Neurospora crassa OR74A: one gene and its partners. The protein of the gene in region 2 interacts with the protein of the main gene of each other region in a pairwise test. Links are inferred from orthologs where the notes say so. Each region holds a gene or a part of one and is shown on either strand. Other genes may lie near its edges. The genes, in order: NCU06402, NCU05991, cul-1, NCU04461 and NCU01119.

Region 1 (5,865 bases), on a different chromosome or scaffold from region 2:
CCGTAAGTCTGAACCGTAGCCTTGGCCACCAGGAGCCATTCGATATCACGCTCATACTGGCTCTCAACGCCGACTTCTCCCTGCTGGGCAAGTTCCTTCTCCGTGGCCAAAACCGAATCCTCCAGCAGTTGCTTGATACGAGAAGGGGGCAGAAAGGTGCCGGACCGAGAGGCAGTAGACAAAATCCTGGCTATGCGCAAGAGCTCATCGGCACGGGGTGAAGGCGGCTCGCTCACGGCCGTGAGCAACCCCGTCTCTTGTTGGTCATGCTCGGCATCCTGGGTCGAGCCGGGCTCCAGTCCCACGATCCTGTCAATGAGTACGTCCAAGTGACGCACCTTGCTGTCAAGAGAAAAGTCATGTTAACACCACCGTCCATCATCGAGACAAACTGACAAGTATGTCCTTATATGAGAGACCCCGGAAGAGTACTGACTCGGCCACGATCGCCATGGTTCGACTTGTTGGTCCCCTAACCCTGCAAACGAATGGTTCTGGACTTCGGGACAATTACAGCAGGTAATGTGATATGAGGATGGTGGAAAGTTCCGAACTGTTCGGGATTTCGTCTCGCCGGTGCTTGGCTACCAGGCCCTTTCGCCGGAAATACGAAGGGAAGGGTAAGTAAGGTTCTCGCCACAAATGGCCTCTCAGCCTCGCTCAAAGACGCGTAAAAGTGGCGATATGGAATCTCGGCAACAACACTGGAAATAGTGACTGGATATGATAAAGTGCGATCAGGCCATATGGCCGGTACCCGTACTACGCCCCCACTTTTTTGGACCTCGTAGAACTCGCACCCCCTAAAGTGGGTGCTCACGGGTACTACGGCCACACCAGTAAAACGGCCAGGTCAGGGTTAGAGGTGCAGTTTTGAGGCTCGATTCGTAGGGTAAATCACAACTTCCCAACATATAGAAATTTCTGAGAAATAAAAAGCTGGACGGATACATTACTCTATTCTAACTATCCTCTAGCTCTTTCTTTATTTTCAATTAATTATTGAAATACGTTGTGGGCGTTCACTGTTTTGGTATCGTTTATCTGATTTGCACCTCTAACCCTGGTGGCCGTTTTAGTGGTGTGGCCGTGTTATTCGTGAGCACCCACTTAGGTGGGTGCGAGTTTGCGAGTCCCAAAAAAGTGGGGGCGTAGTACGGGTACCGGATGTGAAGATTGCCGAGATGGTCGGTTCTTGTTCAAGGCTTTGGGCTGTCACTGTCAAACCCGGAAATGTGGGATGAGGTGGGGATGTTTCTTTGGGCTTGACAAGCGGGGCGGGCGGGCGTCCGAAACCCACCGAGTGATGATCGATGACAGGATTGGTAAGGCGGGGATGGGAGCCGACTGACTTGCAACTTGGTTCGGCTGCGATCCGGCCAAAGGAGAAATGCGTGGTAAGATGAGGACAGTTGAGCCTCATCAATGAATGACCTGATGAGTTGATGACCTATTGTCGGCAAGATGTACACGTGTAGTTGCCGAGGAGAGGTGCGACAGAATATTGTAGTCAGACACAACCAAATGAAGGTCGAATCGAAGCTCAAATGTCAGCCTATGATGTCCAAGGATGGATTGAAGATGCCAAGCCCAACTTTCAAAGGCGGTGACAAACTGCCGATGCCAAAAGCCTCAAGTGGTCAACCACGGCATTGAAGTCAGGGACACAACTCGTAGTTTGGCAATGTTCTCTGAGCCATTACGGAATACCAGATGTTTTGCAAACATACCAGTCTGTGAAAGCATCCACGAACGAGCTTTGGGGAAAAAAGTGACGATCCCATTAAAACGTAGCGTAGCTGCTCCGCCCGCTGTCGCCGCTCAGGTACGTACCGTATGGAAATTACCGATGCCAACTGTGCCAGTTCGCCGTCAGTGGCTCAACGTGCCAATCCAACTGGTCCATCACGCCAACCCCCCTGGCGACCTGATTTGCCTGGGTGGTGCATGGCAGGATGGCAACGAACCAGCCGAAGAAGAGGTGGGATCACGGTGTGGATGCAATCGTTCCATATCACTGGCAAACTCCGGGCAATTCGAGGTTCTCGATGGGAGATTCCATGTCAAAGGGATGGAGATGTGTGTTGTATGGTAAACTACAGTAGCCTTTTGTTGTCAGTCAGCCGACCTCTACTAGTGTACCAACCGCAGTGGTGAGGCACGGTAAGTAGTGTACAGGTATGTATGAAAAAGTTATGGTTGAGATCAATACCACACACATGCCGCCGTATCTCCGCGTAGATCACTTCAACTTCCATTCCTTATCTGATGGAACTTCGCCCTCAGTTTCCCACCTCGCGGTGACGTGGTCAGTGCCTGTCACCCAAGGAACTCAAAAGATAGGAGCCCAAGGAGGAACAATGGCACATCTCAATGCACGGCAGAGCATGGTGTTGGGATTTCATTGCTTGGCGGGCTCTCAGTTTCATTGAGCACTCGCTGAGAGTCGCCGTCCGGTCATTCGAACTTGGTGAAACAACATCCAAGAGTGGGTCCGGAAGGCGGAAACAACAGCTTCGCAGTGGGCCGATTCTGGGGTCATTCCCGCCATTGGTCAACCCAACACGTCTCTCAGGGGCTCCCGCCAAAGGACACCAAAGGCAAAAGGACTTTAAAAAATCCAGCAACCCCTAAACTTGTCAGTCGCCTTTCCCTAGCATCCCACTTGCAAGAGGACGCGGTCGATTGTTTCTTTTTCTTGCCCCGGTTTCCTCCACGCGCATAGTATCTTCTTTCCTCGCTACAGGTCCCTCCTCGCGTTCCAACACCCAGCAACACCTAATTGGAGGCGCCTATTCTCTATTCGCCCACCATGGCTTCGGCAGTCCTGTACGTTCTTGTTTACCATCGTGCGCCTGTCAACCGTGCCCAGATCGAAAGCTGACTCGTATCGTCCCGTCATCTAGTAATGCGACCGTCGCTGGCCTGAGCTCGACAGACACGTACTTCACCGTCTTGGAGGAGGTTTCCAAGTACAATGTTCAGCTGAGCTACCCCGAGAAGCTCTGGGCGGTACGCGGCCCCTGCAACCCAACCCCGAAACGCCGGGACGAGACACGAACAAGGATAGCTAACGTTGGACGATAGGCGTGGTATCTGTGGATGCAGAACGACGTTCTCGCGACCGGTCTCATGAGCTTCTTCATGCACGAGATCGTCTACTTCGGCAGGTCGCTCCCGTGGATGATCATCGATGCTCTCCCCATGTTCAACAAGTACAAGATTCAAAAAGTTAGTGCCCAGCCAAGCATGACCTGAGACTCAAAAAGCAAAAGAAACTAACAACCACATAGGAAAAACGCCCCACCTGGAGGGAACAGTTCGAGTGCGCCGGTCTCGTTCTCCTCAGCCACTGCACCGTCGAACTCCCTCAGATCTGGCTCTTCCACCCCATCGCCACCTACTTTGGTCTCGACTATGGCGTGCCCTTCCCTCCTCTTTGGAAGATGGCCCTTCACATCTGCATCTTCTTCGTCATGGAGGATGCTTGGCACTATTGGAACCACCGCGCGCTTCACTACGGCCCTCTCTACAAGGCCATCCACAAGATTCACCACACGTACAGCGCGCCCTTTGGTCTCACCGCCGAGTACGCCTCCCCCATTGAGGTTATGCTCCTCGGTATTGGTACTGTAGGATCCCCCATCCTCTGGGTTTCCATCACCAAGGACCTCCATCTCGCCACCATGTATGTCTGGATTGTCCTCCGTCTCTTCCAGGCCATCGACGCCCATTCCGGCTATGACTTCCCCTTCAGCTTGCGCCACTTCCTCCCCTTCTGGTGCGGTGCTGAGCACCACGATCTCCACCACGAGCGCTTCATCGGCAACTATGCCTCCAGCTTCCGCTGGTGGGATTACTGCCTCGACACCGAGGCCGGTGAGGAAGCTGCCAAGGCTCGCCGTGACAAGAAGCTTGCGGCCATCAAGGCCAAGAAGGCCCAGTAAATGGGTGGAGTTTATGGATCCGCTGTTATGATACCGTTCACGGTATTCGTACTGTTGTCTTCCAAGGTCTTCTATTCGACCTCACTAATTTTGGACAACGCATCACCAAACAACGGGGAAGAAGGAAGGGAAGAACCACCTAACGATGGGAATTGGTCCATGAGACAAATCAGGGAAATAAGGATTCGATAAAGGCCAGAAACGGGTTGGTTTATTTTGGCTGAAAGATAAGAAGAGAGGTGCGGTTTTGGTCGAACACGGACCAACCGATGCACACCTCCATGCAAAAAAGGCGTTTGGAAGAGGAAGAGAGTTGCGTCGCACCTTTCTTGCCGTACGCACGCGGTGGTGCAGTTGGGGAGGGGGGCATTTTCCTTCTCGCTTCTATTAATTCTTGTACATAGCTGATTCCTTCTTTCGGCGTCCTCCTCGGCAAAGCACCACCCCGTGCCCAGCCCTCTACCCCTTCCATACAAAGCCCTTTTGATAATCTAGTAATGAGAGGATCATGAAAGTAAAATACATAACCTAGATACACTTACATACACCCTTGATGACTCCTGAGTGAAGCTTCTGTCAATTACTTCACTTCTTAAGGTGCGTAGGCGTGCAGCAATCACCAGACGAAGCCACGGCCCGGTCGGTCAAGTTGGGCATGGCGCAGCTGGCGCCAGCTTCCGGCTCAGTCTCGCCAAAGTCTTTGGCCAAGGAGTCGCAGATAGTAGCTAGTTCAATGTCCAGGGATGAGAGACCTTTGGGGACGTGAGTCGTCCAGCGAATGAAGGTTGTGTTGAAGACCTAGGCAGGGGCGGTGAGATTAGAGAGGAAGATAAGAGGGAGAGGATATGTGGCAAAAGAGAGCATGTAGAGGAGAGAGAGAGGATGTGGCTTACATTGGACCATTCGGGATGGTGGTTCTTGAGCTTGCATTGCAGGGAGACGGCAGTCATAAAGTCCTAATTGGGAGGCGTCGAGATTAGGATCTTGGTTATAACTCGGAATTATCTGAGTCTCTGGGTGTGTAACACAGTCTTGCATGCCCTATGAGACACGCTCGGTATATTGTAGCCACGCAAATCGTGAGTAATAATGGGGTCGGAGCTGTGTGCAACAAGGAGAAAACGAAGAAAAGAGCAATCATATATGGGAGGGGGGGGGGTGCATAGTAAAGATAAAGCAAGAGCCCGAATTTCAAAACCCATCCAAGAGTCCAAATCGGACGAGAATAAGCACTTCAGCCAGATAGACATAGTAGAGAGGTAGGTAGGTATATCAGATACCTTATCCGTCATAACTGGCTGGCTGGCTGGCTGGCTGGCGTCGCAGCTCGGTTTCTTTCTTTCATTTGTCCGTTCGGATTTTCCTTCATCATCAACACCACTTGTGCGTGCATGTATGTGATTTGACCATCCAAATCCGAAGCAAATCCCAACAAATGCGATGACACAGATACAGGTCGGTAGGTGATTTTTGAAGAAAGAAGGATAGACAAGTAGCCATGAAAACAAAAAGGTACCACAAACACTTCAACCACCCAAACGAAGAAAAGTCATTTCACTCAACAAAAAGTAAAGTAGAACAACACATACCCAAGTCTTGGCAAAGGTCTTGAACTTAAAAGTCCTTTCGATAGCGAGACCCTGCTGTGTAAGCGTCCACCTACCACCACCACCACCGGTGGACAAAAGCTTCTCAAGTGCCGGATCAAGAACCGCTGGGTCGGAACCCTCAGAGAATTGCGGCTTCGTTTCCGAAGGCGAAGACGACATGTTGCGAGATTGTTGTTGTTGTTGCAGTGACGGGCTGCGCTGTTTTTGTTGCTGTGTTTGCTGAAGATGATTATGCGTGGTGGTGGTGATGGTGGCGGGTTTTGGTGTTGTTGTTGTTGTTGTTGTTGATCGTTTGGAGGTTTGAATGG
Region 2 (6,226 bases):
GGCCGAGGCAGACCCGGCGCCGGAGGAGGGTGGGGTTGCGGCTACCGAAAGGTGATCGGCCGGGGATCGGGCCAGTTCATCGCTGCCAGTGTCGGCCCCGGGCAGAATGGGGTAGGAACATTCTCTCTCAACGGTTTGGCAGTTGATGCATCGCGGTCGTGTTTCGTCGCACTGTCGATGAGTGTTAACTCACTGTGTGATTAGTCTTGAGTTTTGTAAGTGGGCTACTACTCACCTTGATATGCCGTCTCTTGCACTCGAGACACCCTTTTCGGGACTTCCGATGACTTCTCCGCATCATGGGTTAAAGTGAGGGATGGGTAGTGTAAGTTGGGCTACTAAAACGGTAGGCTGCTGGGCGGCAAGGGGCTGCTACGTGTAAGACGCTGTACAGAATATTGCCGAAACATCAAGTTCCCTGTCAGTCTCGACAAGTCAGATTCGGGTGGCAAACCGAGAATGACATGCACAAAATGATTGAACTTTATCGTTGTCTCAAGTCGGGAGGACTCCAATGCTCCATGTTTGGCATTTATTGGACGAGTTTCAGAGCGTCTGGGGGACGCGTATTCATGATCACTTTGATTGCGTGTCAACAAAGGGCGCAGCTGTTGGAGCGCCTTGGGTCCGTGAGCAGCAGCCACACCGTGACTGATTAACTGTAGCGTAGGGTTAATAGCGAAGTGAGCCTCCACCGCTAAGAATCCAAGACAGATCCATTTCTCCGCTAAGCCCTGCCCACGGTGTCCGGTTTGGTACCGAACCCGAGGTTGACCCGTCCCAAGCCAAAAGCTCAGCCCCAATGTTGACTAAAAATACGACGCCTTCATCTCCCTGTTTCTATAAATCGTATGAAACACCCACGTGTTCCTGGCGTGCTACTGAGTATCAGGGGGTGGCAGATCCCACGGTCGAGCAGCTGAGGCTAAGGCACCTTTGTTGTTCTTGCTCTTTCTAGGGCTTCTTCTCCTGGCGGACGCAGGACCGGCGGTGGTGATAGGTCCGGGACCGACGAACCGTAGCACCCAGTCCCACACTGTCCGCGTCTTGTCCAGCTGAGGATGCGTCGTTCCTGTCACGGATAGGTCCGAAGGGGCATAATGACCGCCGGCATCTGTTGCGTCGAGCTTTGCCCGGAAAAGCAGGTGGACTTTGGTCAGACCCTTGCGCAGACTGGAGCCGTAGACCTTTTTGTTGAAGACGTTCAAGGCGACGTTTTGAATGAGGACCACATCCCTATGCCGCAGTCCTTCAAGTATGCTGCCCTGTACGGTTTCGCAGCCAGGGGGTAACCAGAAAGTGATGGTGAAGCCAGCTTTGGTCTCGTCACCCACGAGCACCTCGACCAGGGAGCGGTCTAAGCCCCAGCGAGTGCTAACCGACCGTGGCGGAGAGATGGAAATGATGCCGACGATCAGATTGCAGGTGATGGTCTGGGGTTGTGCCTTGACAAGGTAAGCGGCCGATGGGATATCCTTGAGGTCAGTAAGGCGGTCACCGCCACGGAATGTCAAGGGCTCTTTGACGTTCTCGTCCCCATCCACTGCATGAACCGTGGTCTCCAAGAATGAAGCCGTATCCAGATCCTCCTCGCTCATTGCCGACGTGATGGAGTGTTGCGACTCTGCTTCTCTAAGCAATGTAGCGTCCAGGTACGAGGATCGGACATGTTGATGCAACGTAAGGGAGTGCTCGTAGAACTGGGACTCCAAGTCGCCATGGACGACGGACGATTCGTCAAATGACGACGATATAGACGCGGTAGTAAGAAAGTCATCGGGCTGATCGACTGCTTCCAGACCGTGAGCTGGGTTGAAGCGGAAGCTGGAGTCATATTGTTGAGTGTAGCCGGTGAAAATACGTTCTCTCACGAGACTAAGGGATCTCCATGCGGCAGGAGTCGGAGCAGAGGCCGGGATGATGGTCTGCTCTTCCCGTGGTTGGAGGATGCCCATGAAGCTGGCAATGGGCTCATCGAACTCGACAAGTAGATCCGGGGTGGCCCAGTCAAGCGCCCGGCTGTCTGGAGCTCCAGTGAATATCAGGACTTTGGAAGCCATTCATGCTTGTGACAGTTATCATAAGAGAAGCGAGTTGTCGTAGGTTGTTTGGTTGTAAACGAAAGGAAAGAAGGAAGCCGAGTGGAAGTGAAAGTGCTGCCGGGCGGGCCCCACCACATGCCCGAACGGCACGGACTTCTCCAAGTAACTGCTCCAGGCCCGGAAGTGGTGCCCCGAGTTCGATTTCACGACTGGCATCTCTCCCACTTCGTCATCGAACAATACCTACCTTTTGTCAATCAACACAACTTGTACAATTGATCCATGGACTACCTTCGTTGATTCTCTTTTGTGAGACACAGAAACTCACCTGAAATCACGTGTCAGCATGTTGGAAGTCGATGAATGAAACAAGCAACCCAATCGGACAGGGGCCGGAAAGGCTCCACAAAATAATGGCGTCGAACGGGACCCCTTTCAGACCGACGACACGTAGGTACCGTGACAGCATCCCATCTCTCCTCTGTCGCAACTCTTTTGTGTCCGTCATTGTAGCCAGCAAGTCCGTCAAGCAAGTCACAACATCCGACTAAACATGGCCCCGGCACCATGGGATTCAGTCCCTCCTGAGGACACCCTCTTCGCCTTGGTAACTGGCGCCAACAGGTAAGTAATCATCATCTGTCTATCTATCCATGCCCTGCCTCATAGAGATGACATGCTAACCAATGCAACTTCAGTGGTATCGGCTTCGCTATCTGCCAACGTCTGATCGACGAGTATCTCGTGACGCGCTCCCTGACCTCCCACCTCGTCGTCATCCCCACCACCCGCAGCGTCAAGAAGTCGCAAGAAACCATCGATGCGCTCCGCCAACATGCCCGCGAATTCGCAACCACCTCCGACATCCTCCGCTCCCGTGCTGGTCCCAACTACGATCCCCGATCTATTACTAAGCGCATCCACATTCTCAGCGTCCAACTAGACTTGTGCAATCTCGCCGACGTCCACCGCGCCGCCGAACAACTCGTCAACGGCACCGTGAGCAGCCCCGCCGACGCCAACGATGTCTACTTCACCTCCCTCACCGACGTGAGGATACCCCGTCTCGATGCGGTCATCTTCAACGCCGGCATGGGCGGCTGGACCGGTCTCGACTGGCCCAAGGTCTTCCACAACATCTTTACCAAGGGTCTCGTCCAAGCCACCACCTGGCCGACCTTCAAGGCCGCCACGGCCGGACACGTCGTCAACCCCTTGCCCGACGCTAAAGACGAGAAGGTTCCCGAAATGGGTCAAGTCTTTTGCGCCAACGTCTTCGGCCACTACCTGTTGGCACACAAGCTCGTGCCGCTGCTGAGCCGCTCCGAGTTTGACTCTACCATTCCTCCCGGCCGTATCATCTGGGAATCCTCCATCGAGCCTGGGTGGAAGAACCTATCGCTCTCCGACTTCCAAGCCATCAAGACCAACGCCGCCTACGAGAGCACCAAGCGGCTGACGGACGTGCTCTCTCTGACCGCCACCCTGCCCTCCGCCCGCCCGTTTGTCGACTCGTATCTTCAGCCGGCCACCAAGTCAAACGCACCAGCTACCCCACCCAGAATCTACCTCGTCCACCCGGGCATCGTCCAAACGACCCTCTTCCCGCTCAACGCCTTCATGTTCTTCTGGTACCGCGTGGTGCTGTACATTGCGCGCTGGCTCGGCTCCCCCTGGCATCCTATAACGGGGTACAACGGTGCCGTGGCGCCCGTATGGCTTGCTTTGCAGGAGCAAGAGGCTTTGGATGCGGTGGACGCTGAGCACGTCAAGTGGGGATCGAGCACAGATTTCTGGGGGGAGTGCAGAGTCCTGAAGACGGAAGTGGAAGGGTGGGGGTGGGATGGGACGGTTGGAACGAGGAAGGAGCTAAAGAATGAGAAGGGGGAGAGGCGCATTGGGAGGAAGATTGTGGGGAGAAAATCCGGGGCGGTGGATCTTACGGAGGAGAAAAAGGTTGAGTTTGAGATGTTGGGGGTGGAGTGTTGGAAGGAGATGGAGAGGTTGAGAGGGGAGTGGGAGGCCAGGTTGGGCAGGGTTCTCGAGAGGCAGTGATGCTGCCGAGTGACGAGTGACGAGATGAAATTGGGTGGTTAAAAGTAAATGATATTCCTGCCTGCACTGCTTTGAGACGAGCAGAGCTGGGAGAGACCTATATATACAAAATAATGATCCTAATAAGTGTACCCAAAACCCGTCACAGGGGGTATAAACGACAATGTGCATCCACGTACATATAAAACAAGCCATAACACATACACCGTCATCCATCATCCATCATAAATAACATAACGCCATTGCGTACCCCGACCCTCAGCAAGGAACAGATGAAATTCACGCCGTCCCCTCCACCGTCCCATCCCCCCTACCATCGTCCGACCTCACCCTCCTCAAACTAACCTTGTCCCGCCGTCCAAACAACCCCAAACAAAGCGGCACCGGAACCGTCACCATAGCCACCACAGCATGAAACACCAATGCCCAATACATATTCCCATCCGGCCTCCCCTCTTTTCCCTTCTCCTCCTTCAAGGCCCCCGAAATAATTATGAATACCCCGCCCAATACCTGCCCCCCGCTCCACGCCAACGTGCTCGTCACCTCGGGACTAATCGGATGCGTCACCTCCACCAGGAACTCCACCACCACCGGCACCAGACTGAAACTCGCCGCGCCCAGAATGGCCAAAATGATATAAGGCCCAGCGAGGCCGGCAGAGTCGTGGGTGGACGGCATCCAAAGAAAAATAAGGTAGCAGATGCCAATAAGCGGGACGGCAACACGGATTGTAGTCAAAAACGCTTTCGTCCTGTCGATGATGGGCGAAGTGATGGCCGACACAAGCAGCCCAACAACGATGAGCACGGCCCCCGCGATGCCGGCTTCTTCGTCGGTATAGCCATGGGGTTCCATGATTTGGTTGAGCAGCGAGGAGATGGAGTTGAAGGTCCCCACATAAACGGCAAAGGGGACAAAAAGGAGCCAGAATTCGGCGTGGCCTAGGAGGATCGCGGCCGAAGTGCGGAGAGGTAATTTGGGCGTGGCGGAAGACGGGGCAGCGGGCGTGGGAGGCCGGGAGGGGATGAAGAAGGCGGGAACGGAGCAGATGGAGGAGATGATGGAGACGTAGAGAACCATTTTCGATATGTCGGATGGCTTGTCGACCCAGAATGGCACGATGAGCTGGCCGAGCGCGGCGCCAAACGGGTTGGCGAGGGAAGTCAAGGCGGTGGCGGCGACGCGGCCGCGGTTGGTGAACCATAGATCCGAGTAGCGGGCGGGAGCGGCTAGGACAAAGGGTTGGGCGAGCCCGATGAGGATCTGGCCGAACATAACGATGCCGAAGTGGCCACCTGAAGGAGAGGAAGAGTGGGAGCCCCCGTAGCGGACCCAGTTGCCGATGAGCAGAAGGGCAGCGGCAGTGGTGATGGATAACTTGGGGCCGAGGTGCAGGACATAGATGACCAGGGGCGTGATAAAGGCGAAGGCGAAGAGGAAGGCGGTGCTGAGCCAGTTGATGGTCGTTCCGGTGGTGCGAAAGTAGGCGGCGGCCTGGGAGGCGACGGGGGAGAAGGTGAGCCACTGGAGAAGGATTGTTAGTTTAGGTTTCTCGGTTTGGGTTGGAGTGACGAGTGATTTATCATCTGTGGAAGTTCTTGTTCTCTGTTCTCTCAGTGAGACATTGTATTTCGTTTTCATGCAGGGCATCGCCAGAACTCGACGAATGAAATCATGTTGGACACGGAAACTGAGATATGATCACAACAACACCACAACATCAAGTCCAGTCTAAGTGGCGTACACGAACAGACATTGGGAGTATAGATCAACTTTAAAAGGCCCAATAACATCGTGGCGGGCGCTAAGAGGTGGCCACCACCCGTTTGCGTAGAGGTAGGACGGGCGGCCCCAATCCCGTACACGAGATGCTTCGCTTGGTGCTCAAGGCACGAGGCGTGGCTGCCGTTGTAAAAAGGGAGGGATCGATATGCCACCAACCAACCACGCCCACAGTTCAGAGGTGTCGGCTTCCATCTCGAACCACGATGGAACCATTTCATCCCGAAGGTGGAAAGATAGCGCAAGACTGGACGGAAAAGGGGAAAAAAGTAGGCACTTACATCCCAGCTAACAATGATATTCAACAAGGTCAACTGCACCAACCCGAACCACCTCCTCTTATA
Region 3 (6,175 bases), on a different chromosome or scaffold from region 2:
ACTACCTAACACGGTTATGTTTTCAGTCTTCACCGGCGTCAAACAACTTGAATCACTTCTACAAAGACCAAATAGAAGCACATGCAGACAGGGACTCATAATGGGGTAATAGTAAGTATGTGTGATCTGTAATGGTATTTGTCATTAACTCTTTGTCCTTCCCCTTCCCAAATCCTTCTGCTAATCTCTATTCTTCTTCTTCTCAACTTCTTCAACCTTCCAGCACACCCTCTCTCTCGCTTGAGATCACAAACTAACAAACAAAGCACGCTGGTTGTTCAATACCGGTATGTGTGAATTCTATCGAGGCTAGTTAATTCGTACTTTTTCCCGCTTGATCATTGTTAATTTGTTTACCCCGCACGTTGTCTCTTCTGGTGATAACCGCTTCAGTACCCAGACTCCGAGGTTGTTGTATCTGTGGTTGGTCCTACCACAGCATCAGAGACCACTTAGGCAAGATACCCAAGCTCATCATCCTCCAACCGCTCCAGGTACTCTTTATCGAGCAAGATCTCAATGCACTTCTTGATGTCGCCAATCTTGGGCATGAATCGTGCCTTAATCTGGTTGATGGTTTCCGAGACAAGCTGCTGGTGCTTCATCTTCTTGCGCGCCTTCATGATACGGACGATAGCGGACTGTGTGGTTTCTGCGTTAGCTTTCTAATCAACACGCTTACTGGGTGTAGGGGGTCACACACCTGCAACAGCAACTTGCGATCCTCCTCGATCGTCTTGTTCGTCTCCGCCTCCTCCTGCTTGGTCTCACTCTTCATGCCCACATTCAAATTGATGCGATACTTCTTGTTCTTGAAGTCGTAGTTGAGCGAAAACGTCGCTCCCGGTCCAATCTTGCCACCTTCTCCACCCTCCGCGGTAAGAACCTTGGCCTTGACCAATATGCCTAGGGCGCCTTCAAGCACGTCCGCGTTGAGTTGAGTGATGCTCGCAAGCTCCTCGAACGTGTACTGGTCCTTCTCGTTGAAAAGCAGTAAGATGGCCATCTGGTACGCCGACACGCTAAAGATATAGGGCATCTTAGCGCCCTTCATATAATTCGCCTTGATGTCGCCCTTGCACAGCTGCCACAGCCAAGTGAGCTTGCGGCCTTCGTGCTTGTTCTTGTAGAAGCGGGTGAACCGATCGCAGTCGGCCGAGATCTCGGCGGGCGCAACAAAGCTGGTGTTTGGCGGAACGAGCGGCCAGAAACCGGTGCCGAGGATAGAGTACGTCGAGTCGAGCGGCTTGCCGTCCATGTTGAGGGAGGCGACGTGCTCCTTGAAGCCTGTGTTGAGATCCTTGGAGATCTGCATGTCCTGGAACATGCGTTGCAACTTGTTGGTGTATTCGAAGCCGCAGGCCTCCTTGAGCTTGGAAATCATCGAGGTCTCGGCATCGTCCGAGTTGGAGTTGCTGTGTACGAGGCGGCGCGCCAGCATGCGTGAGTAGAACTTTTGAAACACGTCCTTGTCCTGGATGTACTTGAACACAGTCATAATCTGCGTCAGCGTGTTCTCGAGCTCCGCCTCCTCCACTCCGGTGCTGCTCTTGCGGAGAAGCACGTCCGTGTACTTGGCCAGCAGTTCCGGTGACTTGTTGGAGCCCGATTTGCAGACCTCGTTCCGGTTCACAAACTCCTTGCACGCGTTGTCTAGAGATCTGGTGAAGTCAGGCTCCTTGTTGAAAGCGCGCTCAACTAACCCCTGGTACTGAGTGTGGATCTCAAGCAGAGCGTCGACGTAGACCTTGGGCTCCAGCTTGTCGGCGTCTGCAGCCACCTTGGCAACAGCCGCCAAACCAGCCTTGCGAACATGGGCCTCGAAACGAGTCCGCAGAGGCTCCAGACCGTCGGGAATGCGAGAAAGGAGGCTGTACATCCGCCTCATGTCGTCCTCTCGGTTGTTGTCCAGCAGGGCCTGGAATTCTTCACGCAACAGGGTAGAGTGCTCCGCGATGAGGGCCTGGTTGCAAGTCCTCTTCAGATGTAGGGCAATATCTGGATGCAGATACATGCGTACGCGCTCCTCCTCCTCAGCCAGGCGAGCCTCGGCCTTCTTCATGTACTCGACAACGCTATTCTCGGCCACGAACTGTTTGCTTTCGTTTTGGTAGAAGACTTTGGTCGCCTCCAGGAACGGCCTTTCAAAGTGGTACCTATACACTTCCAGCGTCGTCTTGGTGTTGTCGCCTTCGTCCATACCGAGTGAGACGAAGCTATCGACCACCTGTTTGATCTGGGTGTACTCGATGGTTTCACCGAGGCGTTGCCTTTCCACTAGCTTGAGAACGGCGTCCATGACTTTCTTAGAGACAGCCTGGAACAACACGTCACGCCACTGAACAAGGTGGAGCGTGTAGACGTCGTAAATGTTCTTTTTCCCTTCATCCATCTCGCGCTTAACCCAGTGTCTATTCAGGTACTTGAAGAGATGGTGGATATACTTGGCGGCGTTGGTGTAGCGTTGCCATTCGCGAATGTAAAAAGCTAACAAGGCCTCGTCCTTGTGAGCCTCCGCTTCGGAGACTAGGTGCTTAAGGTGGTCTGTCAGGTAGTTGGCCAGCTTCTTGTACAAGTCCTCACCAAGCAGATGGGCTGGTGCATGTTAGTCCTCTTGCTCAATCTGTTTAACGGGCAAATGCAGGGAAAGACAACATACCCCCTCTCTGGGCCCCGATTCCCGGAAGGTGATTACTCGGACTGCTGCTACCGCCGTTGGCCTTCTGCGATGTGCAGAAGTTGTGCACCGCCCTATGCCGCAGTTAGTACCATGTTGAAGGAGTGTATAGACAAATAGGGCATCCGTCCAACTAACGTGTAGATTCCCATGTACTACAAACGGCGTGTGTTAGCGGGGGGTAACGTGGACGGATGGGCGAGGAAGAAACATACACTGCTCATGTCGAGGCCTTCTTGGAGGTTGGTCATGATCTTGTTGATACTAGACTGCAAGTATGGCCAACTGATTGGCAGAGGGTCAGTACGGCTGTTTGGAGGCAGAGGGGCCAGCAGCGAAGAGAGCGAAAACATACGTGCTGTCGATACCATCACTGCCAGAAGGCTGCTGCCCGTACGCCCCCATCATCATGGTTGCCGGAGGCATGTTTGTTGTGTCTATGTGTATGTTCGTTTGAAGAGCGATCGTGCGCCGGGAATCGAAGAAAGAATGCGATGTTGGGAATAATATGCCGGCTGACAAGTGGTGGTGGACGAGGGGCGTAATCCGTGAGAAAACTCAAGCTGACCAGGTCGTGTTGGGTCGCGTGTGTTCGTCCAGAGGCTGTCGGGGGGGCAAGAACGAGTTTGATCTGGGCGACCGGTCGTTCTTGAGGTTGGAAGCGCGTTGACTGCGACCGGTGACGAAGGGTAAATGGACTGGGTGGCAGCCAGAGGCGTAGAAGTAGAAGCTCGTCCTGAGCGATGAGGCGCGCCACAGGTCTGGAAGGTCGGATGGATGGCGGGGGTCACCACGTCCTTAGGTCCGTCGGTGTCGGCTGGGAGAAGGACCGTGACCGTGAGCAGACAGACAGACGGGTTGATCGGATATCGGGTCGGGTGAAGAAAGGATTGTTCCCTTGGAGTGACGGGTGTGAGGTCGCAGCCTAGAGGTGAGGTGTAGAGGTAGGTACCTTGGCTGGTTGTTGTTGTTGTTGTTGTTGTTGTTGTGGTGGTGTTCTGACAGGTTTCAATGTTCTGTTCTGAGTGTAGGTAATCAAGTTGAAGAGTGGAGTTTCCAGTTTCCAGATTGGCCCCCCGAGGCTGCTGCTGCTGCTGCTGCTGCCGTGGTCGATGCCCGGATGATAGAGCGATGCCGTCGTTCGTTGACGGTTTTCAGGCTGCAGCGGCGTGGCAGGCATCGATTGACACTGACAGCAAGCAGCATGGAGGCTCCAGAGCAGTGGCCCCCCCGCCAGTAAACGTCCACCGCGAACACGCAAAATTGTGGGGAACCAACCATGGACGGGAAAGTGGCGGGGATGGAGACGACCTATGCCCTGCGATGCGGGACGGGCGACCATCTAGTGTACATTCCGTCATTACCGGTACATCTAACAATGGCGGCTAACAGATCTGATGAAGGTATGTACCTTATATTGATATAATACCATGTTTCTTCTCAATATGAATACAATAACCGGAACTGAAGTAATAAAATATGGGGATGGCACATATGTACAGCTGGCGGGGCATTTTACATACAAGAAAGCAGAACAGTGACAACGATGTAGCTACTTGTAGGTAGAGGTAGGTCAGCCGTTTACAGCCCCTTTAACCGCTAATGTTGTAGAAGGACACCATTGGTGGCCAGAATTCGATTAAACTGCATGTATTTTTCTGCTGGGAGCTCACGGCAGGCAATATGATATCTCCTTACCATGTCAAATCTTTCGCTATCCGTTCCCCTTTTCATGTCTCATAATGCATATACAATCGAGTAATAATCATCACCATCCTTGCTAATATCAACATCACCAACATTACCAACTGATCAAACACTATTTGTTACCGCTGTATGCTAATTTGCTAATCCAAAAACCCCACCCAAAAGAACACAGAGGCAGAACCGTGCTGAGGTATCGACAAAGTACGAGAAAATGCAAGTAAGTATGCTCCCATGCGGGTGGTTGGAGACGTTCGACGTGATTCATCTCCCCCGCTTTGTTTTTCTTTCCCTCTCAATATCCTTCGGGGCTTGACCGCCCATTATAACCGTCATTACCTTCCCCTCTGAGTCTCCAAATCATCTCCGCCTCCCAGCTTTACTACCAGCCTAAACACATTGACCGTAAAGTTGGTCAACCAGAAAAAAAGCCCAAGCAGCTGAAACGCGGCCAGCGCCTGGCTGAAATGGTCCGTGAAGCGATCTTGACTGTTATGATAAACCAACACCTCATATGCCAACGCCGTGCTGGCCGCCTTGAACACGATGAAAAACACATCCATCAGCACCAACCCGCTCTTTTGCGTCACCGGCCTTAGTCCCAATGGGCGGCCCGTGTATTCGTCCCAGAGCATGTACCCGATATAGGGAATCGCTATCGTGTCCACCGCAATCGCCACTATCGCTTGAGTCCGCTCTGACGACCCGGGCGAGATCTGTCTTATCAGGGAAAGCTCTTGGTCGACGTATCCTTCGGAATTGGAGGCTGAATGCAGGGCTCGTAATCGAGCGAGAATCTGATTCTGTAGTTCTTGCTGGTTGGAGCGCCGCCGACCTTCGAGCTGGTAGATACGAATCGCAAGGGCGAGGGCACAGATGGAGGTGATGAGTACGAGGGACCGGAAGAGTAACGGCACCAAGGGATGGCGGAGGACGTGCTGCCAGAGTCGCTTGTACAAGGCCGACCTCCTCCCGGTGCGAGACTTGTAAACGTCTTCGGATTCGGGCAGGTGCACGGGCAAATTCAAGTTTGGTTGCAGCTTCTCGAGTGTTTGGTAGTCGACCACTTCCGACTGCTCATTCGGCATGTGGCCCCACTGCGACGAGTGGATGAATTCGGACCAGGGCGAGTTGGACGTGTAGTGCGCATTCCGGTGGAGAATGACGGGTTCGTCCGTTCGGAGATGGTCCCATTTCCGGCCGCGCTCCATGCCGTCCCCGCGTCTCAGAATCCGCCGCAGTTTCATCTTGGAATCGTTCCTCCGCTCTAGCCCATCTGGTTCGTACACGAATCCATCTTTCGATACCCTTCGTGGTTCGGTTGGCGTGCCGTTGTGTTGTGGCTGGACTGTGCGTGGGGGTGGTCGGTTCAAGATCCCCCCCTGGCCGGTGGACGGTTGTCCATATCTCTCTTCATACGAGTCGATCCATGCTACATGACACGAGTTAGAATTCAGAGCAACAGAACCACATATTCTGATTTATTATTGTGAGAAAGATGATGTTGGGAAGTTGATGTCGGGTGGGGGATCCATACGAGGCAGCGTCCTTGGCTTGGGACGCAAAGGAGGAAGCAATGTGTCACCATCAGTGTTATCGGAAGAAGGAGTGGACTGGTTCGAGCGTGGAGGAGACGGATTCGCGGCCGTCATGCTGGCACTCAACACTACTTTTTTTTGTTTGTTGTTTGCCGAGCCCGTTGGGGGGTGGCTGATGGCGGGCGGCTTGGAACTAGAGTCTCGGATGTTCCAGTCGTAATGGGTAAGTTGTAGTAGCAAGTAGTAGTGTTGACGT
Region 4 (5,469 bases), on a different chromosome or scaffold from region 2:
CTTCAGGTCTCCCAAGTTGGTTGGTTGGTTGGTTGGTTGCTTGAGGTCACAAAGTCGAGAGCGCGGTGCTCGCTGCAGTCGGTGGGTGTACTGCTACAATTGCACCACCATCAAAGAAGGTCTGGGAATCCAGGGGAAGCTATAAAGTCCAACACGATGCGACGTGGTCGAGGAGCAGCGACCACAGCTTGAGGTGAAAGCGGTTGAGTTGTTGTTGTGGTGTTGAGAGCAAGGAAGCTCTGCGCGCGATTGGGCAATCACTGTCGAAGGTGGACTGTGGATGAACAGCAGAAGATTGAAGAGGCTGGCCCGCTCCGGCGGCGGGCTACCGTAAACAATTTTTGGCTGGAGAACTGGGACAGCGGTACGTACCTCTACCGCGACCGGGCAGGAATCATTGGTGCCCAGGGCGGTCGTTTCGCGGCTGGCAACTGGGACCTGCGACCTGAAACGCGAATTTTGGACGCGCCTGTGTGCCGGAGCAGTTGGACGGCGGGGACCACAGAAGAGGCGCTAACCTCTTTTTGGAAGCATGTTTTTCTACCGCCTATAGAATGTCGAAACCGTCCAATCATCGTCGAGAACGTCATCGAATGCCCGTCACTAGAAGTCGGATTTGCAACTCAGAATATCAACTATAGACAGACAGCAACTGCTCTTGATCTGTACCAAAAATACATTGTGCAAAAATATGGTTGCTTCATGATCATCGTTCAATTATCATCTTTTAGCTTTCTGTACATTCCACTCACATTATGAACTCGTCTGCTAACAACGGGCCGAAGTTTCTCATTTTCTCTACAATAGATACAGGGTCCGAAGGGTGGATGTAACGCAGGCCAATGGGATGTGTCTTTTGGCTAGAGCCATCATGCCACAAGTCCATGCTCCTTCCCAGCTTCACGTGAGAAACATGGTAGCTAGAAGCTGCGATATGCGCTTACTGCTTCTTGGCTTCACGAGCGGCCTTGCGGAGAGCGCGGTTGCGGATGTCGATGTGCATGTTCTTGTTCAGCCTGAGGGTAAAGTAGCTGTAGGCACCGACAGTGTTCTCAACAACCCACTTGAACACAGCATGGCTCCACCAGGGGGTGTAGGTGTTAGGAAAGGGCTCGGAGCTGTTGAGGCCAACCTTGCCGAGAGCAGCGCGGACGAACTGCTTGGGGTTGGGGATGAGGAGGCTGGTGCGGCGGATCTTGCTCATGGCAGTGGTAACGAGGTAGCTGACAACAAGGTGGACATCGACGCCCTGGTCCTTGAGCTCGGCAGAGAGAGCGCTGCTCCAGTGCTGGAGGAACGCCTTGCTGCCGCTGTAGGTGGCAAGGTAGGGGGTGGGCATAACACCGGCGAAAGAGCCCATGGTAAGGATAAGACCCTTCTTGCGCTGGGCGAGGATGGGAGCGACAACCTTGGTGGTCTTGAGTGTGCCGAGGCAGTTGATGGTGACAATGTTCTGGAGCTCGTCGCGGTCGGTCTGGAGGAAAGGAACGGGGATGCTGTGGGACTGGCCAACGTTGTTGATCAAGATACCAATGTCGAGGCCCTTGATGAGCTCGGCGAGACGCTCGTAGTCGGAATCGTCGTCCTTGGAGAAGTCCATGGCGAAAGTCTTGGCCTTGAAACCATCCCATCTGAGCTCGAGCTCCCTAGCAAGGACGTCCAGCTTGGACTGAGTGCGAGAGACGAGAACGAGGTTGAAGCCCTTGGAGGCGAGCTGCTGGGCGAACTCCTTTCCGAGACCATCGGAGGCACCAGTGATAACAGCCCAGGTGCCCTTCTTGCCATACTTGCGGAGCTGTCAAGGTTGATGTTAGCCACATTCACCTGACAATCTTCAGTCCCAAGTAAGTTTGCGAAGAGACGTACGTTGGTGCCGCTCAGGATGAAAGCGTTAAGGAGCAGCTGGAGGAAAGCGCCGACGCGAGTAGCGACGTAAAGGGCGCCGATGCCAGCAAGGGCCCATTGGCCATATTGAGGGACAGTGCCCCAGATCTCGGCAACCTTATCCATTGCGTACGGACTGTCGGCGAAAGTCGTTGATGAAGGAACGCCTTTGGTTTGAATCGGGGAGTTGTGACACTTTCAAAGTTGGGTCCGGTCGCAAATAATTGTTGGGAACTTTTTGGAGGACCTGGGGTCGACTCGCCTACTATGTACACTTGCATGTGTCAGCCGCCAAGATTTTCGAGACGTCCCGCCCCGCGGCCCCGGCGAGAGGACCTGGGCAGCTGGGTTGTCCCCGCTTTTGCCGAACCATCACTCACTCGACGCCGCCATTGAACTCCGACGGAGCTGGCCATGGGCCAATGGATAGAGGAGAAGGGGGAGCCTGGCGGATTTTGTTTGTTGTCTCCAAAATGTCGTCCAATGCCCGTGGACCTGCGTCCATGATGCTACGATGACCCCTGTCTCTCGCGCTTGAGAGTGGCCCGAAGTGTGGTTTCCATCCGATCCTCGAGCCGCTGGAACAAATGGAGAGCTGCAACAGGAAGGGCAACTAACACCTCAACAACAAAAGGTCTTCTCAATACAAATATCCTGGACTTACGATAGCTTTCTTCCCTGACGACAAACCGCTTCATAACTGTTTGAACCAAATGGACGCTATCAAGGCTTTCCTGCCTTCGGGCGAGAAGGGTCTCCTTCCCTACTACCTCTTCTTTGTAAGTTGACGGTTGCTGGTCCCCCTGACTCTTCACATGGTTTCGCAATTAACACGCCCTTCGTCCAGGTCTCCATCGTAGCTATGGGAAACGCCCTCCAAAACTACACTACTCTCCACTACACGCGACGCCTTTACAACGGCCGTTTCGTCCCCAACCCTTCCCTGCCGCCCGCAAAGGGCAAATTCAGCCCGGAGGACAGCGTGGACGTGCTGAAGCCCGTCTCGCCCTCAGAGGCGGAGAAGAAGGAGGCGGCTGCCAAGGACCAAGTCACGCCGCTGGCGGCCCGCGTCTTCGGTACCTACACCTTTATGGCCGGCATCATCCGCTTCTATGCGAGCTACAACCTCGAGAACGAGTCGTTGTACAAGCTCGGTATCTGGACCCATGTCATCGCCGCCGTGCACTTTACGAGCGAGTTCTTCATCTACAAGACGCTGCGTTTCAGCGGACCTCAGATCTTCCCCTTCTTGGCGGCGTATGGCGGCACGTTGTGGATGGTGTTGCAGTATGGTTACTACGTCCAGTAAAAGACAGGTGCAGCTACCAGCTGGTCTTTGGGAATCAAAGCAGGAAGCAGTACATGGCCCCCAAAAAGGAATGGCGAGTGGACTCGGATCATGACCATAAGAAGCGCGATCGCGTATTAGGTGAAATAAGACTCCGACGATAGGCTTTGTGGAAGATGTACCACTTATTGATACCCTTTTCGGTCAAGAAGCGAAGCAAGCGCATCATACATTTCCACTACTGCAACGACTTGCGATAGAGCTCACCACCGCAGTCTCTGAGTCGCGCAGCCGCTTGCTCCGGAGTGATATCCCTCTGCGGCTCAGCCATTAACTCGTATCCGACCAAGAACTTGCGCACGGTAGCAGACCGAAGAAGTGGAGGGTAGAAATGCATATGGAACCAGCTCGTCTCAGCCTCTTCCTCTGTGCAATCCAACGGCGCCTGATGAATACCCGAGCCTTCTCATACCGTTAGCTCCTTTCTCCCTTTCTCTCTCCTTCGGGCAGTTGCAGAGGGTAGTAGAACTTACTATACGGAAAGTTTGTCTCGAACAAGTTATCATATCTTCTCGTAACCTCCTGCACCGCCTCGGCAAACTGCAGCCTCTCCTCGCTCGTAAGCTCCACCAGCGCGCGCACATGTCTCTTCGCAATGACGAGCACCTCAAACGGCCAGACAGCCCACCAAGGGCAGACGACCAAGAACCCGTCGTTCTGCCAAACCACACGCTCGCCCTTGGCCATCTCCACCTTGACGTAGTCCTCCAGCAGATGCCTCCCCTTGTGCTCACGGTGGTACTTGGTCATCTGCGCCAGCTCCTTGCCCGGCTCCTCGGGCAGCGTGCTCGTCGTCCAGATCTGGCAGTGCGGATGCGGGTTCGAGCAGCCCATGGCCGCGCCCTTGTTCTCAAAGATCTGCATGTACCGCAGCTGCTGCTTTTTCGCGGGCTCGACTTCGCCGTCCGGGTTAGGTGGAATCTCGCTGAGTGAACGCGCGGCGGCGTCCCTGAGCGGATGCGAGGCAGACAGGTGGCTGGCGTAGATGCGCGTCCAGGTCTCGATCACGGGTACGATCTCGGTCGCGCTCATGTCCGCCAAAGTGGTGTCGTGCTTGGCGGAGAAGGTGAGCACGTAGCACCGGCCGGTGGCGGGCTGCGCTTGCAGGAGGAGAGAGGCAATGTCATCGTCGCCGTCACCAGCGGCGTCCTTCCGAGGGTGGTACTCTTGCTGTTCCTCTTTGACGGCGCTGTAGTCGTTGACGAAGGCGAATGTGTTTTTGTAGTGCGGGTTGGAGTCGCCTTGGGCGCGCTTGTTGCCGGGGCAAAGGTAGCACTGGGTTGCAGTTAGAGTGAGTGAGAGTAATATAAAGTCATGAAGGGACGGGGATTACGCACCTGGGGATCATACTCAGGAAGCTTGTTGAGGGCTGGAGCCTCTTGCTGTCCTCTGATTGCAACTCGTCAATTCAAACTAACCCGCTGTATTTCTTTATTTCCGGTGTGGCTATCGAGGACTCACTGCCATGGCCTCTTTGTTCTGTGAGGCGATACAAGCAGCCAAGAGCCGTTGAGCGGGTTGTAGCGACGATGCGAGATGTCGTCAAGCACTTTGTCGGTCATGGTTGCGCTTCAAGAGGCTTTCAGGAAAAGAGTAATGTGGGAATTGGAAAAGAAGGCTTGCGATCAATCAAGGGTGTTGATTGGGAAATCAATTTTCTTATAAGTGAGGTGTTCAATAATGTAGATTGGTGGTTGGTATTTTGCACTTTTGAAGTGTATTGGTAGTCATATGCTCGGGGATAGCATCCCCGAGGCAACCTGGTCACACTTACCGGATTGTTTTTATGGGTACAACGGCCGGGTAGCAGACAAGATGAAAATGATCCGATCTGTTCGGTGTTCTTCGGCCTTATTGCCTAGAAGCACCCTACAGATCAACGGACCGTTTATTTACAGGAATGAAGTCGCTTGCCTGATAGTGATACACTGGCTCAGACTGGTGTGCAACTTTTGATGAGCATTCGAACTCGCTTCTTTCCCGAGTTTTCTGAGGCGCAAAAGGCACTGTCATTATCAGACAGCAGCCTGCATCAGGATGAAATTCATATTCCATGTGTACCTGCCTACTTCAGCTACTGCACTGTTATGGAAGTGTGGAGGGCTACCTCTAAGCTGCTTCAGCCTCCAGTGCGCCCGGAGAAACAGGGTGAGCGACTGGACGTCAATTGGGATTCACCGTATTGTGTTTCAACTCGAGCACTGATATACTGCAAGATCTGATGCTCTTCAGAGGAT
Region 5 (6,090 bases), on a different chromosome or scaffold from region 2:
TGTGGTTGCTGACATTCTGGTTGAGCGTCAAACAACTGATTTTGTAGTGAGATTCTGACGTATGGGCTTGATTGGAAAGTGACTTCTACAAGAAGGTGAGCGTCTCGGGAATCTGTTGTTGGAGAGAATGGATTGCGTTTGGTTTAAAAAGGTGTCGGTTGATGGAAACGGAAAGAACCAGCTACCACTTCTTATATCAAGGGGTACGTAACTGTTAGCGCCTAGCTCCGTTCGGTCATGCATGGTGGGGTTCTTGCTTGATTCTGCCGGCAGGAGGGGGAGGGAATGCGCATGCTTCTTTCACCGCCTTCCTATATTGAATTGAATCCGCTGTTTGCCCTGTAGCGGAACTAGCAAGTGCGCACCTTGATGGCCAGGTTTATATTCGGCAGGACCCAAGCCGACGACCATCTCCAAAAGGAACTGAATTAAACAGATAGCGTTGAGTCTCATAGATTGGAAAAAAAAAAAAAAAAAAAAAAAAAAAAAAAAAAACCGTATAGGTACGAATCCGCTAATCAAAATATGAAGACAACTCTGTATTTCCAGACTGAATCTCTCCCCCATTGGGCCTCCGAGATCCCTCTGTAGTAGGGAAATTCACTGCTATAGGAAGGTCATGAAAATTGTACAGTACAGGTGTTCACCTCCACATTTCTCGGATCCCAATTTCGCGAGACATTACAGTATCTTGACATCAAATCATATGTATTAACATTATGTAGGCCATTCAGTATCATTCCTCCATTCGAACTTTGCAACGTCATCTAGCAATATCTGCATCCGGCTGAGCGTTCAAACGACCTTCTCGTCCGGATACCGTGTGGCAAACAAGCCCAGTGCCTTCAACGGAAAGCTGAACTTGTAGTTCGGGTAAGAAATCATGCAGCTCTTGTTGAAGACACCCTCGATAGCCTCTTGCCGCCACTCTCCGTTAGGCTGCTGACGGTCCATGATCAACTTGATGCCCTTCTTGATCGGGTCGTTATTGGGATATTTGGCCTTGATCAACCCAACAAGGGCCCAGGCGGTCATGACCACTTGGGATCCAGTTGGATGCTCAACGTACTCGCCCGTCTCACATGCCTGCTCTCTGGTTAGCTTCATACAAGATCTAGGATGGTCCAGGCACGAAGAGACTTACCTTGTAGCTCTCAGACCAACCACCGTCCTCCCTCTGCTTGGCGACGAGGAAATCACATCCCTTCTTGGCATATCTGCTGTTCTCATACGTTTCACCAACGCTGGCCAAACTCTCCAAAGCAAACATAGTGGCGTACGTGAAGCAAATGCCCCAATTGCCATACCAACCACCATGAGGCTTCTGATTGCTCTTAATCCACTTGACAGCGCGGGTGATGAAGTTGTCAATCTCGGCTGTGCGATGATTGGGCCAGTGTTTCTTGAAAAGCGAGAGTGTAGTGAGAACGGCCGTGGTGCATTCGGGATATTCATATTCGACCATGATGTTGCCGAACACTTCCGCGGCATTCAAAACCTCCATCCACTGGCCGGCGCGCGGAGTCTCGTAGGATGAGCAGGCGCCAGATGGGTTTTGGTAGGTAAGCATTGTGTCAACGGCGTCAAAAATACGCTGGTCATCAATCAGAGTAGGGAAGCCTGGCGTCTTTTGCAGGATGATGACGGACTTCAACGCTTCAGAGACACAATCGCTGACTGCATACCCTTGGTCCTTGTTGCTAAATGCCCAAGCACCCTTGCGGGGATGGCGATAGCACTTATCCTGATCCTTGACGTTTTCTCGAATCTGCTGGTCCTCCAGGAATTCCAATGACTTGATAAGCATCGGCCTCCAGCGTGGGTCTTCAGTCAGGCCGGCGTCCATGATAGCCTGGATTGCAAAGGCAGTGTCCCAGCATTGCACGCCGTTTGTGCCATTGCAGAGCATACCCTCGGCGTTGACCCAGAGTACCTCATCCAGCCTTTCCACATGCCTTCGTACAGAGTAGGCCCCAGGTCCGTCCCGAACATAACAGCAAACGGTATTCATCGCGGCGTTGACCGGGGCTAGGTCAGAATAATCCGTGTTTTCGTCCTCCATGTCGATGAGCTCCGACGCCCATGCCTCTGCCTTCTCTACCAAGTACTTGGTTCGGAAGACGGGATTCCAGATGTTTACAAGAAGCCAGTTGACGGTGTTGAGGAAGGCGGTTTTTGGGTGGTAGTTGTCGTTGGGATGAATGGTGTTGCGGTTTCCAGCCCAATCAATCTTGTTCCAGTCCTCCACGAACAATTCATTGCGCAACTCCCGAATCAAGTCCGTCTCCTCCGCCTGCCACTTCTTGGACCATAGGTAACTCATAGGCAGGAAGACCTGGCGCATATGAATCCACCATCTCCACGGCGCAATCGGCACCCAGTCGGGGAGAAGCCAAAGCTCGGGCGGGACAGGGTTTACGATGTCCCATTTCATAATGCCCAATACCGTGAGCCAAAATTTGGCCCAGTGTGGCGCGTAAATAGCACCTCCCATCTTATGCATTGTTGCTCGCGCTTTCACCATGACCGGATGGTCTGCCTCCACACCCACAAGGCGCAACGTCGTATAGTTCAGCGTCGTACCCAACATGGTGCTCTCGCCTTCAATGTGTAGCCCCCATCCGCCGTCGACGGGGTTCGCTCGCGCAAACAGGTAGTTCTTGATCTCGGTAGCATAGTACCAAGGGACTGGGTTCTTGGTGACGTAGCGAGCGATGACAACACCGGGGAGGAGGAACATGGGACCGCCGTACTCGCAACCCCAATGGCCCTCGGGGAGCTGGAGCTTTTCGAAGAAAGTAAGGCCGTTTCGTACCGCATCGAGGGGGTTCGTCGCCTTGGGAAGTTCGGGGAGCTCCTGTAAGGTTGGCGAGCAAGATTAGCATGTGACATCGGTATCATAGGAGCTTACGGCTGGATGTTTTACCAGAGGCATTCCCAGGAAGTACTTGTCAGCATATGACTGCGGCCATTCTTTTGCAGCCTCGTCGTCCTCGAGATAGTGCCATGTGTGTCGGCCGCCCTCACTGCTCAAACGCCAACGCGCCTTATCGGTGCTCTCCTGTAGCCGAGGCCGTTTGACATTGTGATTATCGCTGTCGGCGCTGGACCGTTTCTTGGGTGATCCGTTTGAGACCGCCGGGGCTTCAGTGGCCTGCTTCCTGGCCATCATGGACGGGCGAGGCTATTGATGGAGGGATAAGCAAGAATGAAAAAGAAAATTCACAAAGACAAAGATCGACACCAGACCAGAGGATAGGACGGATTGGGAGAGAGATACACTAGGAAGAATTGACGACGTAACAGACATCACAACATTACCCCTGATTTGGCCATGCGCCAATCCAATCGGGAGGGGTCGTGTCGTGTTCCCGTAAAGTTCAGTTGGAGCTTCGACCCAGCATTTGACAGGGCCAATGGCGCCAAGATCTTTGGGGGCCCCGAGGTGTGGGGAGAGCGGAGGGGTCTGGAGATGCAGTGGTGCAGATCGGATGGTGCCGGACCAGGCAGGTTGGTTTGCACTGTGCTGTGTAAGTCGGGTGGGTCCAGCAACGACATTTGATCCCGATTCTACTTACCTTACTTTAGTTACTTAGAGGTACCTACCTCTAAGTACTACAGTACTTATCAGACACTCGCAACCTCCAGCATGGGAAGGCGCACTTTAAAGACAGAGAACATCCGAAGCACCTTCCTGACGATGTTTGTTCTTTCTGAAGTAATTTGGTACTCACTACTATACCACCAATATCACAATTTTTCTTCTCAAACACGTTCTCATTCGAGCTTCCGCTTGTCCACCCACCCAATTGGACTCACTGCAGCTGAAGTTGGTCAAACCTTGGATGCCGTTCGACTTTTACTCTTCGCCCTGCTCTGGCTTACATCAGGTATCCCATCGGTTACAAATACAGGTGCACTATTAGACAACATTGGTTTCTCATCTTACTACTACCGTTTGTTGCAAGCATGTATTTTTGTCCGATACGCAACCAGTACCTGCATCCACCTTCTCAACCCACGGCTACCAACTCCCATGAACGGCCCTCTCGTCCTCTAGAGCAGCTTTCTCCGGTAAGAGCTAGCAGTGCTAGAGTACCTCACAACATCGTGATCGTACCACAGAGCCACTCTAGCGATAATGCCCTCACAAAGATCGAGGCCTTGTTCGAGACCATTGTGGATGCTATCAGTGTCGGAAGTCCCATTACCATACCATATCGGCGGTCGACTAACGCGCAAGTATTCGACCCGACTGCCTCTGCCTCAAATCCAAGGGATGGGCGGCACATGGATTCCGTACGCTTTCCGGGACGCAACCCGCAAGAGCTCCGAAGATTTGGTCAGTCACTCCACCAAGTTGTTGTTGGCCAAGCTTCGCAGCACTGATTATATCAAATACAGAAGCCTTGTTCCGCATCATCGAGATTTCTCACGAAGCACTCCTGTCTGGAACTCTAGTCACAAAGAGGTCCGTAATGATTGAAGGTTGATCCATTTGTAATTTTGTTGCTGACTTCGGCAGGAACATTTACTACCAAAACATGGAATTATTCAGGTCACAGAGCGTGGTGGATGACATGGTGGACAATCTTGCATTCACACTTGGAGTGGGACGTAATGATTTGAATATTGTACGTATTCGGCACTTTTCCAGACAATCTCCTCCATTCATGATGCTCATGGTGTTTCAGGTCGCCACCGCAAAGGGCCTCGTTGCTGGCCAGGTAGAACTCATCATGCGTGGCGGTTCCAAGATCGATTGTGCCGAGTCTTCCGATAGTGTAAGCATTGCTGTCCGCCTAGCAGCTCTCTTAACTGACTATTTCAGGGTGTTTTGTTGCCATCAATTAGCGCAGTTGGGAAGATCGACTTTCAGTCCGTCAAATGGCTGCTGGTCATTGAAAAGGAGGCATGATTTCGTCCACCTGTGATATCCTTAACAAGACTCTTCCACTGACGTGTTTGAGCAGGCCACCTTTCGAACACTCTCCGCTTCGCGCTACTATACAGTCTCTCGAGCAGGAAGTGGTATCTTGGTGACTGTAAGGCTATGTGACCTCTTTTGTAGCAACAACGCTGACAACTACACACAGGGAAAGGGATATCCCGACCTTGCTACACGAAAGTTCCTCGCCGCCATCCACTCGGTTCGACCGCGTTTACTCATGTTTGCCCTGGTCGACTTCGATCCCCATGGGATCTCTGTTCTACGGACTTACCAATATGGCAGCCAACGTCTGGACCACGAGGAGCGCACCAAGGTGTTTGGATTAAGATGGCTCGGAATTCGCAGCAGCGATGTCCTCTTAAACACAGTGATGACGCAAGATTGCTCCGCCAACAGTCAGGGAAGTCAATCGAGCCAAGACCTCTCAAGTCAGGAATCAATAGCTTATTCTGTGGATGGTGAGTGTATCGTCAGGCAGGTACATGACTTCGCTGACTTCTCAAACCACACAGCATTCGAAGATGAACGTCCGGCGAAGAGGCCAAGAAGTCGAAGAACGAAAAGCCATCCAAGCGACTACACAGCGTCACTCAGCGAAAGGGACAGGGAGAAAGCCGTCAGCGTTTTGCGAGACATATGCGGTACGGCGAGACTAGACGCTACAGAGCGGGAGCACAAGCTTGAATTGCAGAGAATGTTGATGCTCAACATCAAGGCGGAGATACAGGCGGTCGACGATTTTGGCGATATTACGAACTGGCTGGATGAACGACTGTTGAAACACAGCATGGATGTGAACTCGCACTGATAGATATTCGGCATAGGTTTTGGGGACATAATCTTTAGACACATGACAAACCAGGGGAAAGCAATCAAGAGATGACGAATGATGTTGCTCATCTGATGCCACCTCACACCCCACCTCCGATGCTGGGAAAGACTCTCCAGATCAGCCGTAAATAATGTTGGCGTAGAGGCAGCTTTCTCGCTCCAAAACATTTGTGGACATAACTTAGATTTCTGAATTGTCCAGGTCATGAAACTGGACTCATTCCGTAGGAGTAAGTACCGAAGGGGAAGTATTTCTTCTCTTTTGAGAAATTCTTGGCCATCAAGTAGAATCATATCACCCTAGCAGA

The links.
Region 1: the proteins of NCU05991 (region 2) and NCU06402 interact in binary tests that used the Saccharomyces cerevisiae proteins (3 or more experiments, as listed by UniProt). The link is inferred for Neurospora crassa OR74A from reciprocal best matches to the Saccharomyces cerevisiae genes ERG27 and ERG25.
Region 3: the proteins of NCU05991 (region 2) and cul-1 interact in a two-hybrid assay, tested with the Saccharomyces cerevisiae proteins (2 studies listed by BioGRID). The link is inferred for Neurospora crassa OR74A from reciprocal best matches to the Saccharomyces cerevisiae genes ERG27 and CDC53.
Region 4: the proteins of NCU05991 (region 2) and NCU04461 interact in binary tests that used the Saccharomyces cerevisiae proteins (3 or more experiments, as listed by UniProt). The link is inferred for Neurospora crassa OR74A from reciprocal best matches to the Saccharomyces cerevisiae genes ERG27 and ERG28.
Region 5: the proteins of NCU05991 (region 2) and NCU01119 interact in binary tests that used the Saccharomyces cerevisiae proteins (3 or more experiments, as listed by UniProt). The link is inferred for Neurospora crassa OR74A from reciprocal best matches to the Saccharomyces cerevisiae genes ERG27 and ERG7.

What each region holds. Positions count from the first base shown.
Region 1 is NC_026504.1:2,628,728-2,634,592, forward strand, and holds NCU06402 (C-4 methylsterol oxidase), read left to right. Parts: upstream 1-2,568; 5' UTR 2,569-2,812; coding exon 2,813-2,829; intron 2,830-2,906; coding exon 2,907-3,012; exon of another isoform or gene 3,013-3,087; coding exon 3,088-3,231; intron 3,232-3,293; coding exon 3,294-3,947; 3' UTR 3,948-4,516; downstream 4,517-5,865. Other genes in the region: NCU06403 (hypothetical protein), read right to left, coding at 1-342, 437-453; NCU06401 (hypothetical protein), read right to left, coding at 4,533-4,745, 4,841-4,903, 5,537-5,865.
Region 2 is NC_026506.1:3,161,933-3,168,158, forward strand, and holds NCU05991 (3-keto-steroid reductase), read left to right. Parts: upstream 1-2,251; 5' UTR 2,252-2,595; coding exon 2,596-2,666; intron 2,667-2,740; coding exon 2,741-4,097; 3' UTR 4,098-4,376; downstream 4,377-6,226. Other genes in the region: NCU12126 (hypothetical protein), read right to left, coding at 1-171, 236-298; NCU05992 (hypothetical protein), read right to left, coding at 879-2,060; NCU05990 (cell surface receptor/MFS transporter), read right to left, coding at 4,377-5,624, 6,164-6,226. UniProt on the Saccharomyces cerevisiae protein: 3-keto-steroid reductase; part of the third module of ergosterol biosynthesis pathway that includes the late steps of the pathway. ERG27 is a catalytic component of the C-4 demethylation complex that catalyze the reduction of the keto group on the C-3.
Region 3 is NC_026504.1:5,760,956-5,767,130, forward strand, and holds cul-1 (Cullin 1), read right to left. Parts: upstream 3,736-6,175; 5' UTR 3,104-3,735; coding exon 3,033-3,103; intron 2,963-3,032; coding exon 2,893-2,962; intron 2,833-2,892; coding exon 2,816-2,832; intron 2,752-2,815; coding exon 2,660-2,751; intron 2,596-2,659; coding exon 704-2,595; intron 642-703; coding exon 453-641; 3' UTR 102-452; downstream 1-101. Other genes in the region: NCU05203 (hypothetical protein), read right to left, coding at 4,717-5,813, 5,919-6,033. UniProt on the Saccharomyces cerevisiae protein: Core component of multiple cullin-RING-based SCF (SKP1-CUL1-F-box) E3 ubiquitin-protein ligase complexes which mediate the ubiquitination and subsequent proteasomal degradation of target proteins.
Region 4 is NC_026504.1:3,278,333-3,283,801, forward strand, and holds NCU04461 (transmembrane domain-containing protein), read left to right. Parts: upstream 1-2,270; 5' UTR 2,271-2,597; coding exon 2,598-2,663; intron 2,664-2,731; coding exon 2,732-3,193; 3' UTR 3,194-3,410; coding exon of another isoform or gene 3,411-3,634; 3' UTR 3,635-3,705; downstream 3,706-5,469. Other genes in the region: NCU04462 (3-ketoacyl-CoA reductase), read right to left, coding at 941-1,795, 1,867-2,010; NCU04460 (galactose-1-phosphate uridylyltransferase), read right to left, coding at 3,411-3,634, 3,706-4,507, 4,570-4,621, 4,694-4,794. UniProt on the Saccharomyces cerevisiae protein: Part of the third module of ergosterol biosynthesis pathway that includes the late steps of the pathway.
Region 5 is NC_026505.1:2,959,609-2,965,698, forward strand, and holds NCU01119 (lanosterol synthase), read right to left. Parts: upstream 3,369-6,090; 5' UTR 3,173-3,368; coding exon 2,927-3,172; intron 2,858-2,926; coding exon 1,145-2,857; intron 1,087-1,144; coding exon 796-1,086; 3' UTR 528-795; downstream 1-527. Other genes in the region: NCU01118 (hypothetical protein), read right to left, coding at 1-15; meiosis-specific topoisomerase Spo11, read left to right, coding at 3,970-4,342, 4,405-4,471, 4,526-4,634, 4,695-4,784, 4,832-4,912, 4,974-5,045, 5,097-5,409, 5,464-5,759. UniProt on the Saccharomyces cerevisiae protein: Lanosterol synthase; part of the third module of ergosterol biosynthesis pathway that includes the late steps of the pathway. ERG7 catalyzes the cyclization of (S)-2,3 oxidosqualene to lanosterol, a reaction that forms the sterol core.